Elephas maximus indicus: one gene and its partners. The protein of the gene in region 3 interacts with the protein of the main gene of each other region in a pairwise test. Links are inferred from orthologs where the notes say so. Each region holds a gene or a part of one and is shown on either strand. Other genes may lie near its edges.

Region 1 (6,960 bases), on a different chromosome or scaffold from region 3:
CTTTTGTGAGAGAGTTGGCGTGGAGTCTCTCAGGCTATTTCTAGGAGGCCTCCTGGAGAGTGGACAGACCTCAACGGAAAGAAGGCTGAGGTGCCGTGGTGTCAGGGCTTCTTGGCTCCCTGAGGCCCATGTGAAATGCCCTGGTCAGGGAGATGGCAAGGAGGTTTCCGGTAATGGCCAGGCTCTGAGGACCCTTGAAGGTGACCACAAGAAGAAGTAGCTTGAAACCTCTATCAACCCCAAAGAGCAGTTCTAGAAACAGTTTCAGCTGGAGGCTGACCATAGCCCCTGACCCCATCCCACCAGGTCCATGCTGGGCTGGGAGGAGCTTTGACTTCAGAGCAAGGGAGTTGACAATGCCATGGACCTGGACATGGGATGAGACTGTTGTGGGATGTGAAGTGACCGTTTGTGCTTCCCTACCAGGAAGCATCCTGGGCCTGCCATGTTTCCGTCCAGCCGAGTGAAGGCCAGCTCGTGAGAGGTAGTCTTAAAGGGCCAGTGGAATAGAGAAACTTGGTTGCTTCCCAGTTCCACAGCTGTGCTGGGTCAGCAGCGGGTGACACTTTCCGAGTTCTGTGGCGTCCAGCAGAGGGCTTCTTCGGGGCAACAGGAGTTTCTTGTGCTCATGTGAAAAGAGGGCTTGACAAGAGTGGTGAGACCCATCTCCACTCCATGGAGGCTTCCTCACAGGCGAGCGGTCCAAACTCTGAGATTGTTTAATAGCTCTCTCTCTTGTGGGCCTCAGCCAGGTGTGGGCAGGGCCAGGACCCAACCAAAGAAAGGGCCTGGGGGTGCGTGAGAGTAAGGGTCACTAAAAAAAAAAAAAAAAAAAAACACCAAAAAACGTAAAGCAGTTGCCAGCAAGTTGATTCCAGCTCATGGAGATCCCACGTGTGTCAGAGTAGAGCTGCGCTGCATAGGGTTTTCGCTTGCTGATTTTTGGAAGTGGATCACGAGGACTTTCTTCCCAGGTGCCTCTGGGTGGACTCAGATCTCCAACCTTTTGGTTAACAGCCAAGCTCATTAACTGTGCCACCCAGGGACTCCTAGCCAGCTGCAATGGCTTGCCACTGCCCCCTCTCAACATGCCTCGTACTGGACGTTGTAACATAAGGAAACTCACTCCGCACCCAGGCTTGAAACGATCCCTTCCTTCCCCCGCTGCCCTGTGGGAGGAAAACCACAGCTGAAACCCCTCAGACTGAAACATCTGCGGCTGACAAGTGAGGCCCTCCTGTAGCCTTTCTGAACCTTTTTTTGGGTCTGATACTCTGCCAAAAACTCTTTGGAAAATGTAAGGTTCTCCTGAGAAGATTTGCCGACAGACATGTGCCCACACCACATCCGCTGAACAGGCCTGCATTCCTCCCGAGGGAGGCAGCTGAGGAGCCAGCTGGAAGTGCCTGGGTTCCAGACAAACCCTGAAGGCAGTGAGGAAGCAAGAGGCATGGATGGAGCAGGGGGTGGTGGACAAGGGACACAGCAGAGCGCACACTCCCCAAATCTGTGTGTTAGGAGGAGCAACCCCTGGGTGGCAGCTGTACTGGCAGGTTCCCTGCTGAGCCTGGGAAGGGGGGCCATTGTCCTCAGCCCATTTTGTCCCAGCTTGTTAGCTCCAAAGAAGGAATCTCTTAACAGTGGAATTTCAGAGAGCGAGCCAAGTGGCAGGGTGCATGGTTTTCCACACAGGGTGGTGCTGGTTTGGGGGCGGTCTTCTCTAGTCCACTCTCTTCAGACCATCGCCACGAGTAAGGGCAGGCCTGCCCTGGAAACTGTGATAGGTAAGTTTTCTTTATTGTTTGTTGTTGTTAGGGGCCGTAGATTTGGTTCCTACTCACGGTGACCCTGCGTATAACAGAACAAAACACTGCCTGGTCCTGCGCCACCCTCACAATCGTTGCTATGTCCGAGCCCATTATTGCAGCCACTGTGTCAGTCCATCTCACGGAGGGCTTCCCTCACTTTTGCTGACCCTCTGCTTTACCAAGCTTGGTGTCTTTACCAAGCATGTTTCTTTATTACCTGTGTGTTTTCAAGCTGGGTATATGAAACCTGGGTATGGAACTGGCTGGGGGAGATCTTACCCACAGTTCTCACTTTGGAATGAAAGGAGCAGGCTTTAAGTCCTGCCTTTGTCACTTTGAAGCCTATGACCCCAGGAAAATCCTTTAACTTTTCTGGATCTCACTGTCATTGTCTACAGAGTGAGATATTAGACAACTTCGTCCCTGGGCCACCTCGAGGAAGACCAGGTGGGGCAGTGCCACCCCACCGCCCCCCCCAGCTGACCCCTTCTCTCCACGGCCAACAGCTCCGGGGAGCTTGGCCTCTGGTGGTAAAGCCTGCAGGAGGGGCTTTCCAGGATGCAGCTGGGCTGGGGTTCACGGTCCCCGGAGCCCCTGCTGTCCTGGATGTGCAGGGGGGACAAATGCCTGGGCTGCCTGCCTGCCTCCTCCTCTGCTGTGGTGGGTCCATAACTCCAGGCTATTTCCCCCCCGAGGGTCTGAAAGTTGGAGCTAACTGGCTGGGGAAACAGAGAGAGAGAGATGGGCGTGTGTGCACGTGTGCTCCTGTTGTACACAGTATGGGGGAAGGGTGTCACAGGGCTCTGTTTCCATGGGAACCGGTGGCACAAGCTGGCTCCCCTGGGCACTGCAAAGGGAAACTTGGTGGAGGGTGCGGAAGGTGTGGAGGGTGCAGGGCACCTGACTTCTAGGTGGTTTCCCAGGGGCTGAGCAAATGCCCAACAAGAACTGCCTGTCTGGGATGCAAGAAGGAGCCCTTCTCCCCAGGATGCCTAGGGCCCTGCAGCCTTCCTCTACCACCCCTGCAGGAGATGGGGTGGCTCCTCACTGTACCACGTGCCATCTGGCGACCTTCCTCTACTGCCCCTGCAGGAGATGGGGTGTTCCCTCAGCTGTGCCACATGCCATCTGCAGACCTGAGACCCAGGTGTGGACCAACTCGAGTCCTCAGGAGACCTGAGAGCCACTTGTGTGATACTGCCCCTGGCAGCCACCACCTTCTCTGGGCTGTGAGCCCACATCTGTGAGGCCAATGGGGAGTCATGCACCCACAGAAAGGTCCCATGGGGAGGATGTTGCAGAAGCCAAGGGTGGCCAGAGGATGACCAGTCTGCCAGGAGGCAGGAGGGGCACAGGGGAGACCCTGTCCTCATACCTGAGCCGGGTCTTTCTCTGTGGCCTCAGCTTCCCATCTGGACCTCAACAGCTCCCAGCTGCCCTTAGGGACCCTGAGACTGAGGTGGTCAGAGGGTTGCTCCACACCGCCGCCCCCGTCTATGAGGAGGTGCTCATAAGTCAGGGGGAGGGGTAGGGAGTAGAGGAGGGTATAGCGTGTTCTGCAAAATACCTCCAGGAGGCTCTCCAGGCTGGACTGCCGCCCATGCTCCCACCCCACATTGGGCAGGAACATGTGCCCTGGAGCCCCCTACAACCTCTCTCTCCCATAGGCGGTAACCAAGAGGAGAAAGGGGAGGAGCAGAACATATGTGTGTGTGGGTGTGGGGGCGTTAGAGAAAGAAAAAGACAGGGAGAGGCACAGGGAGAGACAGCCAGTGACAGGACTGGAGGGAGGCCAGGAAAGCCAGATGGGCTAAGAGGTCAGGACCAGGAGCCGTATCCACAGAGAGCAATTGGGACATGGATTCTGGGAGGGGGGCAGAAGATGGGGGGGTAAATATGTGTGTGTGCATGAGAGAGAGCGAGAAAAAGAGAGAGGGAGAGAGAAGGAGAGAGAGAGAGGGAAGGGGGAGGCAGAGCAGGGGGGTGGAGGGGTGGAGCAGTTAGAAGCAGGAAGGGAAGGAGGGAGGGGTGGGCAGGGGGCGGATGAGAAGCTGCCAGTGACAATCACGTCTGGTCCAGCAAACATGAAGCAGCTGCCAGCCGGCAGTCCCGTTCTCCTTGGCTGGCTTCGAGGGGGGAGGCCGGCAACAGTTCCCTTCAGCGTCCAGGATGCAGCGGGCCAAGGTAGGCACTGGCGGGGTTCACCTGAGTGGGGAATAGGGGTTTCTTGAGGCTGCCCTGGACCCAGGTAGCCTTGTTATGCCTCCTTCTTGGACCCCACCCCCTGCTGTACCTGTAGAGTTGCTTTGGGGACAGGGAATGTTGGGTGTCCTGGCTGGAGGTGAACTCCGGGGCCTCCTTGGGATGGGAGAGACTTTAGGTGTTTAGGAGAAGAAGCTGGGCAGAGGAGGCATGTGGGGCCCGCCCCGTGGCTGGTCCTGCTCAGCTATGTCCCTGAGGCAGGTGACAGGGCAGCTGACCTGGAGCTTGGGCCCTGCAGCCTTTAGAGTTGAGGGGGTCGTGAGTGCTGGGAGGGGGTGTCTTATGCATCATTTAATGAACCATTCAGGTAATTAATGAATGCTCATTTTCCAAAAGGGCTGGGAGAAACTAACATGCTAATGGTCCTTTCTCTGGGGCTACTGGGAGCTTGGAGACACGCTGCAAAGAAAGCACCTGGCATAGAGTGAGGTTCAAGAAGTAACGGTGGGGGTGGGAAAGGATATAGAGAAGAATTGATTGAGGAAGAACAAAGGAGAGGAAAATCAGCTGAAGCCCCGCAGAGGGTTCGATCTGTCCCGAAGGCCTGCTAGCTTCCGCATGCTTGGGACAGTCTTGCTTTGGAAGCAAGAAGAGGGCTCCAGGACTAGGTCCGGTTGCTCAAGCAGAACCCCCCAATAATGGTGCTTAAACAAGGGTGCCTGCATTTCTCCCCCAGCAGAAGTCGGAGGGAGGCAGGCAGGCAAGAGGGAGCTGGCATGGAGGCTCTGCGAGGCTGCAGGGCTCCGTCTGTCTCTTGGCTCTACGATCCCGGTGCTGGCTCCCATCCTTGAGGCTGCGGTAAGCTCCAGCATCGCTGCCGGAGCCCCAGCCGGCAGTGCAGGCGCCGAGGAGGAGAAAGAAGGAAGGGCAAAGGGGCCCGACCCGTCTCAGATCAAACCACAGTCTTGTGAGTAAGGAAGGGTCCCCGGGAGGTACAAATGGCTAAACTCTAAACTGCTAACCAAAAGGCTGGCAGTTCGAACCCACCAGAGGTGCTACAGAGGAAGTCCCGGCAATCTGCTTCTGAAAGATCACAGCCACTAAAAACCTATGGAGTGGTTCTCTTCTGCACACGTGAGATAGAGCTGACGGTAACTGGCTCGGGTTTGCTTCTAATTTGTTTGTTTGTTTTGTGAGTAGGAAGAATGGTCACTGGGCTGGCATCTTGCAGTCTCTGTCCCTGAGAAACCCAGGAGGGAGGACAAGCAGTCTGGAGCAGGCTTGTAGCTGCATTCAGGCTACCCAAAGAATCTGCCCCAGACCCCAGGCCACCTCTTCCCTGCCTGGTCCATCTCCCCAGTGCTGGGAGGACTGACAGAGGTGATGGGCTTGAAAGTCCTTTGCATACAGTGGTGGGGTTATCTCTCCTCTTATGGTAGGTCCCTTCAGCAGCTGCCAGGGGATAGGCAGGGCAGAGCCTGAGAGAAGCTTCACCCCACCTAGTATACTCAGGTCCTCGCCACACACATGCCCCACCCAGCACAGGCCACATGCACTCACGGCTCTGAATGTCCTGTGAGTGTGTACCGAATAGCCACAGAAGCACGCCCTCACACACGCCCTGCCACCGTGCCCACAGTCTGACCTGTGCCACACAAACATGCATGTGCACGGAGGGGGTGTTCATACAAACGTGCACACAGCCAGCTCTCTGTCCACCACACGGAACGACCGTGCTCCTCCCCTTGCTGGCTCTGACTGCCAAGAGGTCACTTCAGAGGTTGGCCATCCCTGCCCCTGCTAAATGAGCAGAGTGAGGGGCTCAAGTCCTGCAGGTACAGCTGGCCACTGCGACCACGTGCATCCACTCTCCCCCACCACCAGCACTAAGTGCCCCCCGGGCCCTAGTGGGTCTAGCTGGGCCTTATCCTGCCATTTGCCTTCCAGTGGCTGCCTGATCAGAGGTGGGAGCGGGTCCCGTATCTCCTGGTGCTGGGCCAGGCAGGGACAGTGGCCCTAGTGGGAAGTCACTGCAGGGTCCCTCACCAGGTCAGCTGGGGAGTGTGAAACAACTTCCTCTCTCATGGCAGCAGGGGTTGCACTCAGAACAGAGGCTGGCGATCACACAGAGAGCTGCCTGTCACTCAGGACATCCCCATGGGTGTAGTGGTCAGGGGCTGTCCCCAATAACACCTCACAGTGTTGAGCCCCTCGGCCTTCTCCACACACTTCCCTGTCGGTCACAAACATGACAACGTCCCTGGAAGGCAGGCAGTGCCTCTGTCCATTCTGGAGACCCTGAGGCCCAGAGAGGGGGAGCTGCTTTCCAGCACAGCACCGGGACCCCCTCAAGTCAGCCCCCCAACTCTGGAGCCTGCAGGGCCCCTTGGTTCTCTGCCTGTCATATGGCTGCTCTGTGGTGTGCTAGGCCGTGGGCTGAACAGCTGACAGACACACCTGTTCCAGGGAAACCTCAGTCAGCTGGGAACAGGCACTGAAGGGGGAAGGGGGGCTGCCGGGGAAGGGGGGCTGCCGGGGAAGGGGGGCTGACCTCTGAGCCCAAGGCCAAGAGAAAGAGGCAGTGAACTCTGTGAGGCCCTAGAAGGGAGGAACAACCAGAACCGCAGGTTCCACACTAGAGGTCAGGGGCTATTGTCTTCACCGCGCAGCAAATCCACTGGAAACTGCTTCCTGCCCAGCGGCCAGCCTTCTTGTGGGAGAGGGACCTTAATTGGCTCCTTTATTTGCAAAGATGGTAACTGGGGCCCAAGGTTGGGGTGGGAGAGGGAAGTGGCCCTGCCTCTGGTCTCCAGGTGGAGTCTGGGGGACGGGCAGGCCCTCCATGGATTCTGAGACACCCCAGGTTCTGGGCCGGGGCTTCATTTGCATTTTCTCCCTGGGCCGCATGGCTACCCCCAAAGAAGTCCCTGGTATTGTCCCCACTTTACAG
Region 2 (7,772 bases), on a different chromosome or scaffold from region 3:
ATTAAAGAACCAGTTCAGACAGCCAAACATCTGAATAACTGAAGTTCCAGAAAGTGAAAATATAGAAAATGGGGACAGGAAGGGAGGGAATCGTCAAAGAAATATTTTACAACATCCCAGAACCAAAGGAAATGGGTTTTCATGCTGAAAAGATCACTGAGGAACAATTAGACAGTATGTGTCTCCTGATATGATGCCAGGGGAAATACACAGTCCCATGTATAAAATATTCGTACCAAAAAAATTGAAGCAGAATCTACTCAAGCCTCTAGATCTAAGTACCAGTCTACAAGACATATAAGAGATAGTGTAACATTCTAAAAACACCACTAGGGTCCAATCAGCCACATCTAAAAAAAAAAAAAACACATCTAGGCTATGAGAAACTCTGTAAAATAATTTACACAGTTTCTTCAACAAATAAATTATATAAGAAAAGGAGGAGGAGGGGAAACTACTACAGATTAAAAGAGATTTAGCAACCAAATGCAACATGAAGGCCTAGTTTAAATCCTGATTCGAATAAACCAACATAAAAAAGGTATTTCTGAGACAATCAGGAAAAAAAAGTAAGGAATTATTAATAATTTCCTTAAGTGTAATAATGGAATTATGCTTATGTTTTTTTTAAAAAAACTGATCTTTTAGAGCTACATACTAAGATATTTATGAATGCAATGATATGTTTGGGATTTGCTGTAAAATATTCCTGCCCCCTCCCCCGCAAAAATGTGAGAAATTGATAGAATAGTAAAATAAAGCTGGATTATGGATATACCTGGTGGTTTACTGTACTTTCTACTGTACCCTCTAGTTTTGTGTTTATTTGAAATTTATCATAATAAAAAGAAAAAGAAAGGAAGGAGGGAAGGAAGAAGAAAAGAAGAAAAGAAGGAAGGAAAAAGAAAGGAAATACACTAGCTGTCTCAAGTTTATTCTTATGAGACAAGCTACCAACTGAGAGAGTATCTTAAGAAACCATATATTCAACAAGAACCTAACAACAACCAAAATATATATAAAACTTCACCAATTTAACAACAGAAAGACAAATAACCCAACCACAGAATGGGCAAAGGACTTGAATAGACATTCTCCAGAGAGGACATTCAAGTGGCCATCAATCACATGAAAAGATGCTCAGCATCATTAGCCGTCAGAGATATGCAAATCAAAATCACAATGAGATACCATTTCACTCCCACTAGGATGGACAAGATAAAAGAAAAAAAAAACAGGAAACAACAAACGTTGGTGAGGATCTGGGGAAATTGGAATCCTTATCTATCATTGGTGGGGATGCAAAATGGTGGTGAGCTGGGTACCTACTAACTGTTGTAAAACCTTTTTCCTTTATGCAAAATGTTGCCACTTTTCTTTTTTAATACTGCCTTGGACTCAATAAAAAATCTTTGTGGAATTTAAGGCTCATGTATCACCTCTTTTAGCAAATCTTTCCTGATCTTCTAATATATCCCCAAACTTTACCCAGGCTTCTATAAGACCACGCACATATATATTTCCATGATTTTCATTTACCACATTATATTTTAATATCTCTTTTGTGTCCCTATCAGATAATACACTTTCAACTTTAAATTAAAAAAAAAAAATCTGCCACAAGGTGACTTAAACTTTAAGGAAATTTGTTATTTCACGTACGAGCAAGTCTAGAAAGACCGTAGTCTTTAAAAAAGGGTTGGTCAATTCAGAAGTTTATCACTGTTATCCAGTACGCAGATTCTACCGCTCTGTTCTGCATCATCATCAGGCTGCTAACAAGGAGGCAGCAGCATTTCCGAGCTTCATATTCAGACATAATAATGTCTGTTTTGGATTGGATTGTGTCCCCAAAAAAGATATGTTGAAGTCCTAACCCCAGTTACCTATGAATGTGACCTTGTTTGGAAACAGGATTTTTGAAGGTGTTATCAGTTAAATTAACATGAGGTCATACTGGAGTACCCAAAAACAAACACCCAGTACCCTCGATACTGGAGTAGGGGGGCTCTAATGCAATCTGAGTGGTGTCCTCTTTATACAACACATAAAGAGAAGAAACATAGACAAGAGGAAGACAACCATGTGACAATGGCACTATGCTACAGCTTCAAGCCAAGGAACTCCTGGGACTTCCAGAAGCTGAGCAAGACCAGAAAGGGTCTTCCTCTAGAGCCTTCGGAGAGCATGGCCCTGCCGACACCCTGAACTTGGACTGCTAGCCTCCAGAATTGCGAGACAATAAATTTCTGTTCTTATAAGTCATCCAATCTATGGTGCTTTGTTACATGGGCCCTAGGAAATGAATACCTTCACCGAAAACACAGTAAACTTTTTCCATAAAAGGCCAAATAGTAAAAAGACTTTATGTGCCATACTGTCTCTGTTGCAACAACTCTGCCTCTGTAACACCAAAACCGCCATCAACAATACGTAAACAAATGAGAAGGCCGTGTTGTAATAAAACCTTATTTACAAAAACAGGCGCTAGGTAGAATTTAAGGGAGCTTTTTTTTGGTGGCATAATCGTTTGGCTCTCAGCTGCTAGTCGAAAGGCTGGTGGTTTGAATCCACCGGCTGCTCCACGGAGAGAAGAGCCTTGGAAATTTGTTATTTTGATCTGTTCCTGTAAAGATTTCAGCCCAGGAAATCCTATGGGGCAGTTCTACTCTGTCCTATAGGGTCGCTATGAGTCGGAATCAACTCGATGGGCACACAACAGGTAGAATTTAGCCCATGGGCTGTTGTTTGCCCACACCTGGCCTTTTTGGGCCTAGAATGCAGAGCTGGTGAAAAGAGCTAATCCATGTAACATCTGCAGGCACCCAGGGATGCCCGGCAAAGGACACTTCTCTTCCCTCAAGGCACTGATGACGTCATTTGTGGGAGTAATCAGCTTGAGTCCTCTGGCCCACTAGGCTGTTTTCTGGATGGGGGCATGAGGTACAGTCATGTGACATTAACACTTCAATCTGAGCAGCCTCGGGATTACTGGTGTTTGGCTGCCAAAGACTGATCCCCAGAGAGGTTTTTCCACTAGGAAACCTCACTACGGTTCAAATTTAGAGGTTTTGAAGTTAAACCTACTCTGTGTACACCATACAACAGTGTAGAATGTGGGTAGTACAGGGGTCACTGACACAAATTCCTACAAAACAGGCAACATAAATGAGGAAAGCAGGCTCAGGTGGGGAGGGGACCCCTTGGAAAACCCATACGTAATATAGCAAGGGCACTCTTCGGCTTCAGCCAATTATTGCCACACAGAAATGTGGACCCAGAGCTGTCCAACAAGGAAGAAATGCCAATTTCCAAGTGAAATCTGTTTGTAAAAAACATTGGCAACTAATTCAAACTGTTTAGAAATACTGGACATGGCATACTGGAAGGATAAGAGGTCATCCGATAAAACTGGGGTGTTTCAGACGTGGAGAAATAGGAGGTAAAGGCTGAAAGTAAGGCAGCTTCTGGAGAAGGTTGATTGTCACACTAAAGGAGCTTACATATTGTCTTCTAGGTCTGAGCAGTCACCAAAAGATTTAAGCAAGGAAAGCACGCATTAGAACAGCATTTTAAAAATATCACTCTGGCAGTTGATGAGTGCATGGCTGGGTAATGAATTAGGTGGTTATCACTATAAAAAAAAGGGTAAAGGACATGGAGGACAGTACTATTCTGATACACATGGGGAACTGGTTAATTTTTTTTTTTTTTAAAGGAGAGACTTTGGAGGCCTACTTACTTTTTACCTTCTCCTACCCGACTGTAAACTCCCGTGTGTCTTATTCACTGCCACGTCCCCAGCGCTAAGCACAATACCTGGCAATATGGTAGGTGCTTGATAAATATTTGTTGAAAAAAATGAACAAGCGGGAGGGAACGCAGGCAAGAGGAGTTTTGAAGAACTGGGTTTAAGGGTCACCTGCCTCGGAGGAAGAGAATGTTGCGTGAGAGCTGTCAAGGGAGTTGCGAGCCTTGGGAGGCCCGTTTCCTTCTCTTAAGCTTCCTCCCCGAGCCTTGGGGAGGGATATCTCAGTGAAGCGATCGCACGCACTGCGACCTTCGCCATCGAAACCTGGCGCTTTACGTGGCCTCTTCCGTTTATGAAAGGGGGAATTAAGCACCTTGATAGGGTGAAGGGAGGATTAAGTGACAATTTAGGGGATGAGCAATTTCTGTTCTTCACTTGGTCCTGCCTTTTCAAAGCACACAGGAAAAAGGGATGGGCCTCAGCCTCCGACCTCGTGAGGATTACTTTGGGGTGGAGTGGGAACCGATGACTGGAGTCTCTGGGCTGGTCCAGGCGAATTCCCAGCCTAGGTAGAGAGAATAACCCTGATGCCCCCATTCCACCTAAACCCAGTCCCGTCTCCCTGTCCTTGTTCCCACAGATCCCTTTCTCCGACCCTCGCTCTCAGCTCCGCCCTCTACCCTCCCTCCCGCTTCTTCTTCCCGCGCCCCTCGCTTCCCCCCATTTCCGTCCCCTTCCCCTTCTTCCTCCGCGCTCCCACCCTAGGCCCACCGCACTTCCCCGCCCAGCTGCATCCCGCTCCCCTTCCTCCAGCCTCCAGCCAGTGCCCCTCCCGCGAGGCCGGTGCAACCCCGTGCCCCGCTCGCCCAATGACGAGACGGCGCAGGGGCGGGGAGGGGCTTGGGCCGGAGCGGAAGTGGCGACCGGAGCGGAAGTGGAGCTGCCGCCACCCGCCGCCGATTCCGGAGCCGGGGTAGCTGCCGCCGCCGCTGCCGTCGCCGCCTGAGAATTGGGGTTGGGAAGGAAGCGGTCATCGCGCTCTGAGCTTCGCTGGGAAGTGTCTTTGCTGCCTGCAGTCCTCCTACGGTGAGTGCGCGCCGGGTCCGCCCAAAGCCCCTGGGAACCCAAGCCTGAGGCTCCTTTTCGGCTCCGGCGGCCGCGCGGGTGGGCTCCGGCGAGAGCCGAGCGGCCTTCTAGGTCCCGCGCGGCCGCCTGCGGTGCGGGCCTGTTCTCACCGCGGCCCCTCCCTGCTTCCGGGGCCGGGCCCTTTGCCTCCTCGAGCGGCGCGGGCCTCCCTCGCCTCCTGCGGCCCTGCCCTGCCCTGGCGGCGGGGTGCGGTTCCATGCTGAGCCGGCCAAGACCGCCGACCGTGGACCCGGGGCCCTCCCTCTCCAGCTCCGATCCCCGCGCGACCCCTCCCTTCGCCGCAGGCGGCGAGAGCGGCCCCTTTCAGCTCTATCACCTCCTCCTCCCTGTTTTCCGGTTTCCAAAAATTGAGATATAACCAAATACGGGCGAGTTCTCGAGCCCCGGGGCCCGTGCATCACTCTCTTTGGATGAGTAAGGGGTTTAACCTTGGGAGACAGCGGGGGGGAAAACCCCCTCCCACTTTGCAGTAAAGCCATTTCATCGTCGTTCATTGGTTATGGAGCCTGGGAGGACCCGAGATTAACCCGGGAAGCACTGGGCTGAGGTTTTGAGTTAAGAAAATGCATTTGTTGGAACCGGTTACTGAGTTAGGTGGAATCCCCAGGGGGAAAAAAAAAATTATCAAAGGCTGGGAATCCAAGCATTTTCCCACAGCATTTACCTTCATTTAATGCTCAGGTATTTTGTGTCCTCCCCCGAAATTCCCCCATACTGTATGAGAGCATGTTTTTTGGTCTGAAATTTGCTTGGTGGCCTCCCTGGTGGTGAGGAAGGAGTGGACATGATTTGTGCCCCTTTTTTTCAGAAAATAAATACACCCTTGTCTATTGCAAATGGAGAACTCGCACGTAACGGGGCTTTCAAAGGTGGCAGTATTGGTAAGACAATTTGCCAACCTTTCGATAAAAATCATGTCTCTTGTGCTTGCCCTCACTGCATTTCTCTTTGTTAAGGCTAGGTAGCATCAAGCTCTGATTTTACTTGGCCTGTGTGGGAGATGGAATTTGGCAAGACGATGTCATGATCATAGAAAATCAGACAGCCACAGAAGCCAAAGCAGAAAGGTGAAGGGCTTGTAAGAATATGAAAATCGTCTGGACTTCTCTCTCTGTCTCAAATGTTCGGATGCAGTGTATAGAACATAACGCTGTTTATAGAATTGGATATGTATGCGGCTACTTAGCTTTTTGCGTTTTCCTTTTGGAAATTTATAAATATTAGTCCTTAATGAATTTTTTCTTGACTGCTTCTAGTACACCCATTTCTTTTTTGGGGATGGATATCAGTGGTCTGAGCCCCTCATTTTTCTAGAATTCATGCCCTTAGCAGCCCATGTTGTGGTGAGGGGAAAACCTATCGGTTTTACTGGACACAAGTGAGAATTTAAGTGTGGCTTTCAAAACGGAAGGCTGATGATCCAGTGGCAGCTGCTGAATTATTTTCCTAATCTTTCGTTTCAGTGAGATAAGAAACCATTCACTCATCTTACAGATGCAGTCTTTATGAAAAATGAGGCGATTTGGCCTAGGCCACACACCTAGTTTTTAGATTGAATATCCTCATTCATCGGTAGCAAATATTTATGGACTGTCAGTCCCAGGAGTATGGCTCCTACCCTATAATCTTCTGTACATTTCCCATCATGCAGTGCCTGTGTTAAGTTGAAGCCATTTTAGAATTGGAGCTCTATAGATCAGCTAGGCAGGCTCCATAAAACAGGCTGGGCAAATTCCCATGATGCTAGTTCCCTAGGCTGTGTCTCCGGAGATTTGGAACTGCAAAAAGTGCGTTTTGCCCATTTGGCTGTGTGGATACAGAAGCGAAAAGAGCAGTGAACCTGGAGTCAGAGAAATCTGATTCAGGTCTTGCCTGCAGCATTTTCTAGCTGTGTGAACTTCAGCTTATTACTTAAATCTCTGGTTCTTAGTTTCCCTATCTGCAGAGTTGCCATGAGGCATTTTTACAACCTGTAAATTGTTAAATATAAGCTTTTGGTTTTGTTTTTTAACCACAGTGTTCACTGCTAATGGCTTTTTTCTTCAGTTGTAACCTGATGAAACCGAACCCTCTTGTACACATGTTGCTTTCAAAAAATATTATTGTAGAACTTTATTTTGTATATACCATTTCTGGTCTTTCCGAGCCCATGTTCTCATCTGTACAACGGGAATGGTAATGTAGTCTTAGCTGGGTTGTTGCGGCGAATCCAATAATTAAAATAAGTATCTGGCACATAGTAGTAAGTGTTTGATGTTATTCGATCATGTATTCATGAACACAAACACACAGAAACATGTATGTAGGTAGATGTATGTATGCATTCCATCTATTTGGGATTTATTTATCAACCGATGAGGTAGCATCAGGCATAGCTACCGCTTATCACTTACAATGTGACAAGCTTTGCTGTAAGCACTTTACACATATAAACTCAGTCCTTATAACACCCAACAATAGATAACTCTGTTAGCCTCATTTTACAGAAGAGGAAACGCAGGCACAGAGAAGGTAAATAATTTTCCCAAGGTTACACAGATGGTAAGTGCTGGAGCCAGGAATCAAACCAAGGCAGTCTGGCTCCAGGGAATGATAGATTTCTAAGTGTGGTAGAACAACACATGCATTTTCTTCTTGTGAACACCGTTTAGTCCTTAGTTTTTCTCTGCATGTATTCTACTAAAATAGATGTGTTTGAACAGGAATTTTAACTATTTTTGAATATATAATTTATTGGGAGGAAATATCTCCACCCTAGGGAGCGCTGGTGGCACAGTGGTTAAGTGCTCAGCTGCTAACTGAAAGGTGGGCAGTTCGAATCCACCAGCTGTTCTGCAGGAGAAGGATGTACCAGTCTGCTCCCATAAAGATTATA
Region 3 (7,964 bases):
ACGTGGAAGACTTAAAAGGGCACACCCATCTCAGAGACGGACCACCAGGAATGACAAGTGACACAGACAGAGGCACTATTACAGCGTTCCCTGTTGTCATTTGCCATCAAATCAGCTCCAGCTCATAGCAACCTTACGTATAACAGAAGAAAATGTTGCCTGCTTGTGTGCCATCCTCATAATCGTCACTATGTTTCAGCCTATTGTTGCAACCACTGTGTCAATCCATTTCCTTTAGGCTCTTCCTCTCTTTTGCTGACCCTCTACTTCACCAACCATGGTGTTCTTCCCCAGCGATTGGTGCCTCCCGATGATGAGTCCAAAGTAAGCAAGGTGAAGTCCTGACATCCTCACTTTTAAGGAGCATTCTTGTTGTATTTCTTCTAAGACTGATTTGTTTGTTCTTCTGGCACTTAATAGTACAGTCATATTCTTAATCAATACCAACAAATCAAATGCCAGCACTCCTAACAGTACTTAATGACCATGTGGGGGAGTCCACCATGCCCACCCTTAAAGCATTGGCACAGGCTCATGCCCGTCTGTGGAGGCCCATGCCCAGAGCATTGGTGCAGAGATGGGAAGCTTCCAGTCTGCACCTTGAGTCTATAGAGGTCCCAAGCATGCTTGTTACTCCGGGATAAGGCCTGGGTTTTCCAAGGACTTCCCTTATTGATGTTTTGCTGAACACGGTGCTGAAAGTAGTCACAAAAGACATCAATCTGGCTATTTCTGCCCAAATGCTCTCAGAAACCTCCACATTGCTTCTGAAGTATCCGGGAGGAATGTCAGCATTTTGGCCCTGTGAGCTGTCTATCTCTGCAGAGCTAGTTTCTTGTCAAGCTGAGTGTACACAGATCTCAAGGAGATAGAGACTCACATTGTTTGTGGCTATGTTGGACTGGAGCCAACTCGTGCATCACTCGTGTCTTGTCTGCTCCTGGACTGCACTCGTGGAAACCTCTTCTTTGGCACCTTGCACAGCTAAAGCCTCTTGCAGGGCACCTGAGGCAGATACACCTCTGAAAAGTCCATCCTTCTAAAGACACAGCTGCGGATGGGAAGGTTGGAGGAGAGCATCTCTACTACATACACTCACGTAAGAAAAAATGAGAAGAATTACGTTACAGTTTATTCGAACAGCTGCAACATTTCTAAGTTACATAATGCACTCTTCAATTTTTATTTTTTTGAGATATGATATGTGCCCATTTCAAGGGTATAGTTCTGTGTTTTTGATAAATACATACACAAATATAGCCAACGGAAACCCTGGTGGCGTAGCGCCTAAGAGCTATGGCTGCTAACCAAGAGATCAGCAGTTCGAATCTACCAGGCGCTCCTTGGAGACCCCATGGGGCAGTTCTACTCTGTCCTATAGGGTCACTAGGAGTTGGAAGCAACTCTACAGCAAAGGGTTTTTTTTTTTTTTTTAGTTTGGCCAACACACCAATTGAGATGTGTTGTTGTTAGGTGCTGTTAAGTGGATTCTGACCCAGAGCAACCCTGTGTGACAGAGTAGAAATGCCCCGAAGGTTTTTTTTTTTAATCTCTACAGCAGTAGAACACCAGGTTTCTCTCCCTCAGAGCCACTGAGTGGGTTTGAACCACCAACCTTTCAGTTAGCAGCCAAGCGTTTAACCATGGCTCCACCAGAGCTCCTTAATCAAGATACAGAGCATTGCAAAAAATAAAAAAAGATACAGAGCATTGCCATCATCCTAGAACGTTCTCTGTTCTTCTCTGTGCCTAGTCACCTCCCTCTGCCTCTGCCAGAGGTAATCATGGTTCTGGTTTCTAGCTCACAGGTCCGTTTTGCCTGTTCTTGAATTTCATGTAAATGGCCTAATACAATGTGTACTATTTGGTGTCAGATTTCTTTCACTCAGAATCATGCTTTTGAGACTCATACATGTTTTTGGATGTGTTACTAGTTTGTTCCTCTTTATCGATAAACAGTATCATATTGAATGGCTACGTCGAAATTTGTTTGTCCTTTTTCCCTTTGATGTACATTTCGGTTGTTTCCAGTTTTTTGCTGTTATGAATAAAGCAGCTATGGACATTCCCATACAGATATTTTTGTGGATATATGTTTTCATTTCTTTTGGGTAAATACCTAGGGGTTGAACTGCTAGGTCATAAGTTTAACATTATAGGAAACTGCCACGTAGTTTACGTGTTGTTATTATTAGGTGCCCTCAAGTCAGTTCCAACTCATAGTGAACCTATGTACAACAGAATGAAACATTGCCTGGTCTCGTGCCATCCTCACAATCTTTGCCCATTGTCACAGCCATTGTGTCAATCCATCTCTTTGAGGCTCTTTCTTTCTTTCACTGATCCTCTACTTTACCAAGCATGATGTCATTCCCCAGGGACTGGTCCCTCCTGATCCAAAAAAAGACCAAACCCAGTGCTGTCAAGTCGATTCCCACTCATAGCGACCCTATAGGACAAAAGCAGAACTGCCCCATAGAGTTTCCAAGGAGCGCATGGCAGATTTGAACTGCCGACCCTTTGGTTAGCAGCCGTAGCACTTAACCACTGCATCACCAGGGTTTCCTCCCTCCTGATAACATGTCCAAATTACATGAGACGAAATCTTGCTACCCTCGCTTCCAAGGAGCATTCTGGCTGTACTTCTTCCAAGACAGATTTGTTTGTTCTTATGTAATGCACTCTTAATTAATTAACTCAATTACCTATGAAGTCAATAATTATTTTAAAATTTTTTGTTCCACTATTTGTTTGTGTCTTAAATTGCATTGATATGATATGGATACACATTCTTCTCAAATGTATCCTTAAGGAAAAGATCTAGATTAAGTGTTTATCACTCCAGTAGTTCTCCAACGCTTCCAAGCTTATTTCTACAAACAGCTTGGAATCTGGAAGAATCATCAGAAAACTGGGATGATCTCTTTCATGAATCTCTTATTTTTCTTTGTCTTCTTTAATATTTTATACTTCCAAATATGTATAGCATATGTGTTAGTTATAAAGCAAAGTAATTAAAACAAAATCTATAAATTCACTATCCCCAAGAATGAGAGCTTTTCCAAGATCATTGTTTATGGCCATGGGCTTTTCCTGTCTCCTCCTCCCAGAGTCAGCTGCGATCCTGAATTTTGGGTCCTTCATTCACCCTCTTGCTGGAACAAAACAAACAAAAATTTATCACATATTTAATTTCCTAGCTTAAAAATTTTTTTATCATATATTTTTAGTTTTGTTTGTTTCTGAGGTTTATAAAATGCCATTTAGAATGTTCTGGAACTTGCCTATTTCACTCAACATTGTGTTCCATGTTGTGTGTAGCTTGTAGTCTATTAGTTTTTCATGATGAGTAACACTCCATTCTGGGAGTATATCACAATATATCACTTGTCATTTAGTTGTTTCTCATATTTTTACTTGATACGTGTTACAGTTTGGGAGAGTCTGGTATGTTTAGAAAGATAATTTCAGATAAGCAGAGTTTTTAAGAAATGAAAACAAGTAACCTGTTTCTGTTCCAAAAGTGGGGGCATCAATAAGACATTTGGGGAAAATTGTGAAAAACAAAAAGTGTGATGCATTGTTAATGCAGTCATAAAGCAAAGATTACAATTAAATTTTTTCTATGTGATTTTTTAATCCAAGGTTTAAAAAAGAAGTTTGACTTCGGTAGGTAGAGCATAACTGAAGAAATAAAAATCACCCTCTTTGTTCATGTGGTCAAATTAGTTTGCATTTTCAACCAAAATTTTTTGCCACCTTCATTTTGATTTTTCCCTAAAATCCTAAGTTATATAAAATATACTAAAATACTAAGCTAAATACACTTTCTAAAATACCTTAATCCTATTGATTTCCCACTACTTCAAGAAAACAGATAATTTTTAAAATTCACAAATTAAAAATTGTTTTGAATAAAAAAAACTAAACCCTACAATTTAGCTAACTGCATGCATTTCTCTTTATATTCCTCCTTATGTTCTTAGAAATAATTCAATAGGCACTAAAAATATATTATGTAGGAATTAAAGGTTTTATATTAGCCTTTAAAAAGTAGGCTCTAAAATTTGTTGTAATTTACAAGTATCTATTAAAAATTCTGGGCACTAAATATAATAAGCACATAATATTGATATTGCTTTACATCTAACACCAAAGTGGATTTATAGGTATGAAGATCAACCTCAAGCTGAAAATCTCTGAAGAAATATTTAGAAATTAGCAGCATAAATTCTAATTATTCAGTTTATAATTTTAATTGATATATGCCAAATTTAAGTTTCTTTTTTATGATTATATTTCTTTGTTAAAATCCAGGAACACCTAACACTAAAATATTTTATTTAAAAATTAAGTTGAATTTCAAATAAACAAAACAATCTCAAATGAATAACTCTCTTAAATAAAAAAAGGTTTATTTCCCTTCTATACAACTGACTTGCTGAATTGAACGAAAAATTTCCAAGAGGAAGAATGATCTAGGGAATAAATATAGTGAAAAATAAGGCTAAGTTTCCGTTATGATAGCTTTTGGTTTGTTTTCAGCTCTTAACAATTTCAAAATTAACATGAATGACAGGATGCATAACGTCACGCGGAAACCTTTTACAATTAGAGTCATAGAAAAAAACCCACCTTTCCTTTAGAACAAACCCCCTTACCCAACCGTGATTGCTTTTGAGACAAAACACTTCTAGTGGATCTAGACATTCACAACTCTTTTATTAGCCATCTCCTTCTTATTTATTATTGACACCAATTAGCCTGAGTCATGAGCGGGCCACATTAAAGGCGACACGTGGTCCAATCCCTGTTTTTAAAAGTCCACGCATTTCAAACTCTTCCTCCTGCCAGGGCTGCGCTGTCCCCCTCTGAGGACCTGGGCTCCGCAGCAGTTATTCATTAGATGGCAGTGGTAGGGCAGTCTCGCCTCGGAAAAACCTCTCCTCTCCTCCAGAAAACCACGGAGGCGACTTGGAGTTGGTGCTGGTACCTAGTCACTTACGTAGCAAATCGAGCAAGAGAGACGTGCCCAGGAGGACCGGAGGCAGGTGCGGGTGAGTGTCCGCAGCGGCCAGGGATCCTGCCGGGCGTGTGCGGCTTGGTCCTGGGTCCCGACCGGAGCCCGGAGACGCACCCCGGCCCGGCAGCTCCACTCCCGGGACCCCTCGGTCACGCCCCCCAGCCCCTGGGCCCCGCAGCCCCGAGCCGCCGCGCGCCCCGGGCGCTCCTGGCAGCCGCCCACGTGGTGGAGCCCGGAGAAGCGCGAGGCCGCGGGGAGCGTTCGGGCCGAGAGGCCGCGCTCGCGCGACCCGGCCCGCCGTCCCCTAGGCGGACCCCCAGCTCGGGCCCCCGCGTTTCCTCCCCCGGAGGGAGGGAGGAGGCGACACGGCGCCGGCCGGCCCTCCCTGGTGCCCGCCGCGCCCCCTGGCGGCCGCCGCGGGACGCGCCCTGGGCACGCGGAGCCGCCTGTCGGGGCCCCCCTGCCCGGCTCGGGGTCAGCGGCGGGCGGCGGGCCCGCTCCCCTCGCGCCCCCGGCCGAGCCGCCGGGGCCGCGCCCTTGCACCGCAGCCGCTCGCGGACCCCGAAACTCCGGCCTCCCCGGCCACGACGTCGCGGCCGTCCCCATCATTGCGTGAAAGTGTCCGCCGTAGTAGCGCGGGGTCCCCTTTCTGCCAGGTGTGCCCCCTCCCGCCCCGTTGGGCTTTGGAGCCCACTGCGAAAAAATGCCGCATGCACGCACTTATTTATTTATTTTGCAACAGCTGCAAGAAACAATGAAGCTTTTCAAGAACCGGGAAACGCGCTTTCCAGCCGCGCCGTTGTTGTTTTCAATGAAGCTCTCCGGGCCCCGCGCGCCCCGCCCACCGCGCCCCCTCCCCTGCGCTCGGCTCGGCGCCCGGCTCCCCCTCGGCTGGGCAGGGGCCGGCGCCGGGGGCATTGTTTTTGGAATCCTGCGGGAGGGGAGGGCGCGTGCGGGGTAGCCGGCGCAGTGCGGGTGGGGGCCAGAGCGTGTGCGCGCGCGCGCGTGTTTGTGTGTATGTGTGTGCGCGCGCGCGTGTGTGCCGGCGCGGGAGGGGGCGGGGGCGGTGCCTTGCCAACTGGCGCCCCACGCCCCGGCTCCGCTCCGCACGTCCCGGGATCCCGGGCTCCGGCTCTTGGCGCGTGCCGCTTGGGCCGGGCCCTCGGCGCGCTGCGGCTGTGGGCGCTCCAGTGTGCGCGCGGGCGCGTGTGCACGGCTCTGGCGGCGCGCGCGAGCCCCCAGTGTGTGGCAGCGGCGGCGGCAGCGGCGCGGCGAGGCTGAGGCTCTTGTTTACCAGCGTTAACTCCGCTGAGCGGAAAAAAAAAAAAAAAAAAGGGGGAAAAACCCCGAGGAGAAGCGAGCGCACCAGGCGAACTCGAGAGAGGGCGAGCGAGCTAGAGGGACGCTGCCAGCGAGCCTGCCCCGGCGCCCGCGGCCGGCGCCCGCAGACCCTTTGCCCCGCTCCCGGACCCCCTCCCGCGCCCTCCACGCCCCTCCTTGGCGAGGGGAGCCCACGGCGCGCCGCGCGCCGCAGCTTTGACCTTCAGCGAGCCGGAGCCCCCCGCGCGCAGGGCGGGGGCGAGGGGCGGGGGCCGGCGCGGGGCCCGGGCGGCGCGGCGGGAGTGCTGAGCGCCTCGCGGCCGGCCCGCCGCTTTGTGTGTGTCCTGGATTTGGGAAGGAGCTTGTGGCGGCGGCGGCGGCGGCGGCGGTGGCGCTGAGGGAGGAGGCGGCGGCGAGCGAGCCCGGCGGAGGAGGAGGAGGAGAAGGAGGAGGAGGGGGACGTCTCATTCATTTCTGCTCTGCATTTCTGCCCCTCGCCGGCCTCTCCGCGACCCGGACTTGGGGGAAGATTGCGAAGTGCGTCGCGCCCTCCCGCCGCGGGGGCTCGGGCGTCGGGCAGCTCCCGCTCTGCCTCGGGTTGGGTTGGTTTTTCCTCGCCAAGACTCATTTGGGCTTTCCCCTCTCTTTGCAGTTTTCCCCTTTCTGCCTCTGGGTTTGAAAATGGAGGCCGACGACGCCGACATCCCGGCCCGGCGCGCCTCGGGTTCCCGACTCCACCGAGCCCTGGGCCGCGGCTGCCGGCGCTAAGGGGCCGCGCGAACCCCGCGCCGCCGACCGCAACCCGCGCGGCTCTCACGGCCGGCGCCGCCTTCGGATTCTTGTTTCCTTCGCCCTGGTTTTCGGAGGAGGGAGCGAAGACTGAGTTGGCGACTTTTATTTTCCTTCCCCCTCCCCCTTTTTATTTTTGAGTGAGGGGAGTTTCGTCCCAAATCAAAGGAATGAAGTCTGGCTCCGGAGAAGGGTCCCCGACCTCGCTGTGGGGGCTCTTGTTCCTCTCCGCGGCGCTCTCGCTCTGGCCGACGAGTGGAGAAAGTGAGTATGGGCCCCGCCGCCCGCGGCCACTGCGGGAACTTTTCCTCCGAGGGGCTGCGCCCTGTTTGCGAAACCCGAGTTGCCACCGTCGCAGCTGTCGGCCCCCGGGCCCGGGAGCGGCCGGGCGGGGCGCGGAGGGCCCAGCCGGAGCGGCCCCGGGGCTGAGCTTGGGAGTTTGGAGCCCGCGGGCCCTGGCTCAGCGCATCCCGCTCGGGAAGAGCCTCGTGGCTTTCCCGTTCGCCGTCCCAAGAGTCCTGCCCCGCTAGCCCGGCTGCTCCGCAGCGCTCACTCCGCGGCGGCCTGCTGGCTGGGCCAAGCGCGGGGCTCCTTGGGGAAGTTAGAGCGAGGCCAGCCCCACGCTCCTCGGGGTCCGCCTCCAGCACCTCGCCCTTCCCGGCGCGCGGGGCCGCTCCGCACACAGCGCTGGCCCCGCGCGGCGCGCAGGCAGCGGTGAGAGCGTCGGCGGCCGCACCGCACCCTCGTTGCTGGAGCCGACGCGGGGGCCGGTGGCCAGGAGCGGGGAGCCGCCCGGCCCGCTGGGTGCAAGTTGCCCTGGAGGGAGAGGTGC

Evidence for each region.
Region 1: the proteins of IGF1R (region 3) and KCNIP3 interact in binary tests that used the Homo sapiens proteins (3 or more experiments, as listed by UniProt). The two-hybrid records come from large-scale screens. The link is inferred for Elephas maximus indicus from reciprocal best matches to the Homo sapiens genes IGF1R and KCNIP3.
Region 2: the proteins of IGF1R (region 3) and YWHAB interact in a two-hybrid assay, tested with the Homo sapiens proteins (2 studies listed by IntAct). The link is inferred for Elephas maximus indicus from reciprocal best matches to the Homo sapiens genes IGF1R and YWHAB.

The regions. Positions count from the first base shown.
Region 1 is NC_064835.1:89,148,801-89,155,760, reverse strand, and holds the start of KCNIP3 (calsenilin), read left to right. Parts: upstream 1-3,872; 5' UTR 3,873-3,977; coding exon 3,978-3,992; intron 3,993-6,960. UniProt on the Homo sapiens protein: Calcium-dependent transcriptional repressor that binds to the DRE element of genes including PDYN and FOS. Affinity for DNA is reduced upon binding to calcium and enhanced by binding to magnesium. Seems to be involved in nociception.
Region 2 is NC_064843.1:24,489,411-24,497,182, reverse strand, and holds the start of YWHAB (14-3-3 protein beta/alpha), read left to right. Parts: upstream 1-4,678; 5' UTR 4,679-4,837; intron 4,838-7,772. UniProt on the Homo sapiens protein: Adapter protein implicated in the regulation of a large spectrum of both general and specialized signaling pathways. Binds to a large number of partners, usually by recognition of a phosphoserine or phosphothreonine motif.
Region 3 is NC_064831.1:90,260,751-90,268,714, reverse strand, and holds the start of IGF1R (insulin-like growth factor 1 receptor), read left to right. Parts: upstream 1-4,887; 5' UTR 4,888-5,057; intron 5,058-6,198; exon of another isoform or gene 6,199-6,880; intron 6,881-6,995; 5' UTR 6,996-7,302; coding exon 7,303-7,396; intron 7,397-7,964. UniProt on the Homo sapiens protein: Receptor tyrosine kinase which mediates actions of insulin-like growth factor 1 (IGF1). Binds IGF1 with high affinity and IGF2 and insulin (INS) with a lower affinity. The activated IGF1R is involved in cell growth and survival control.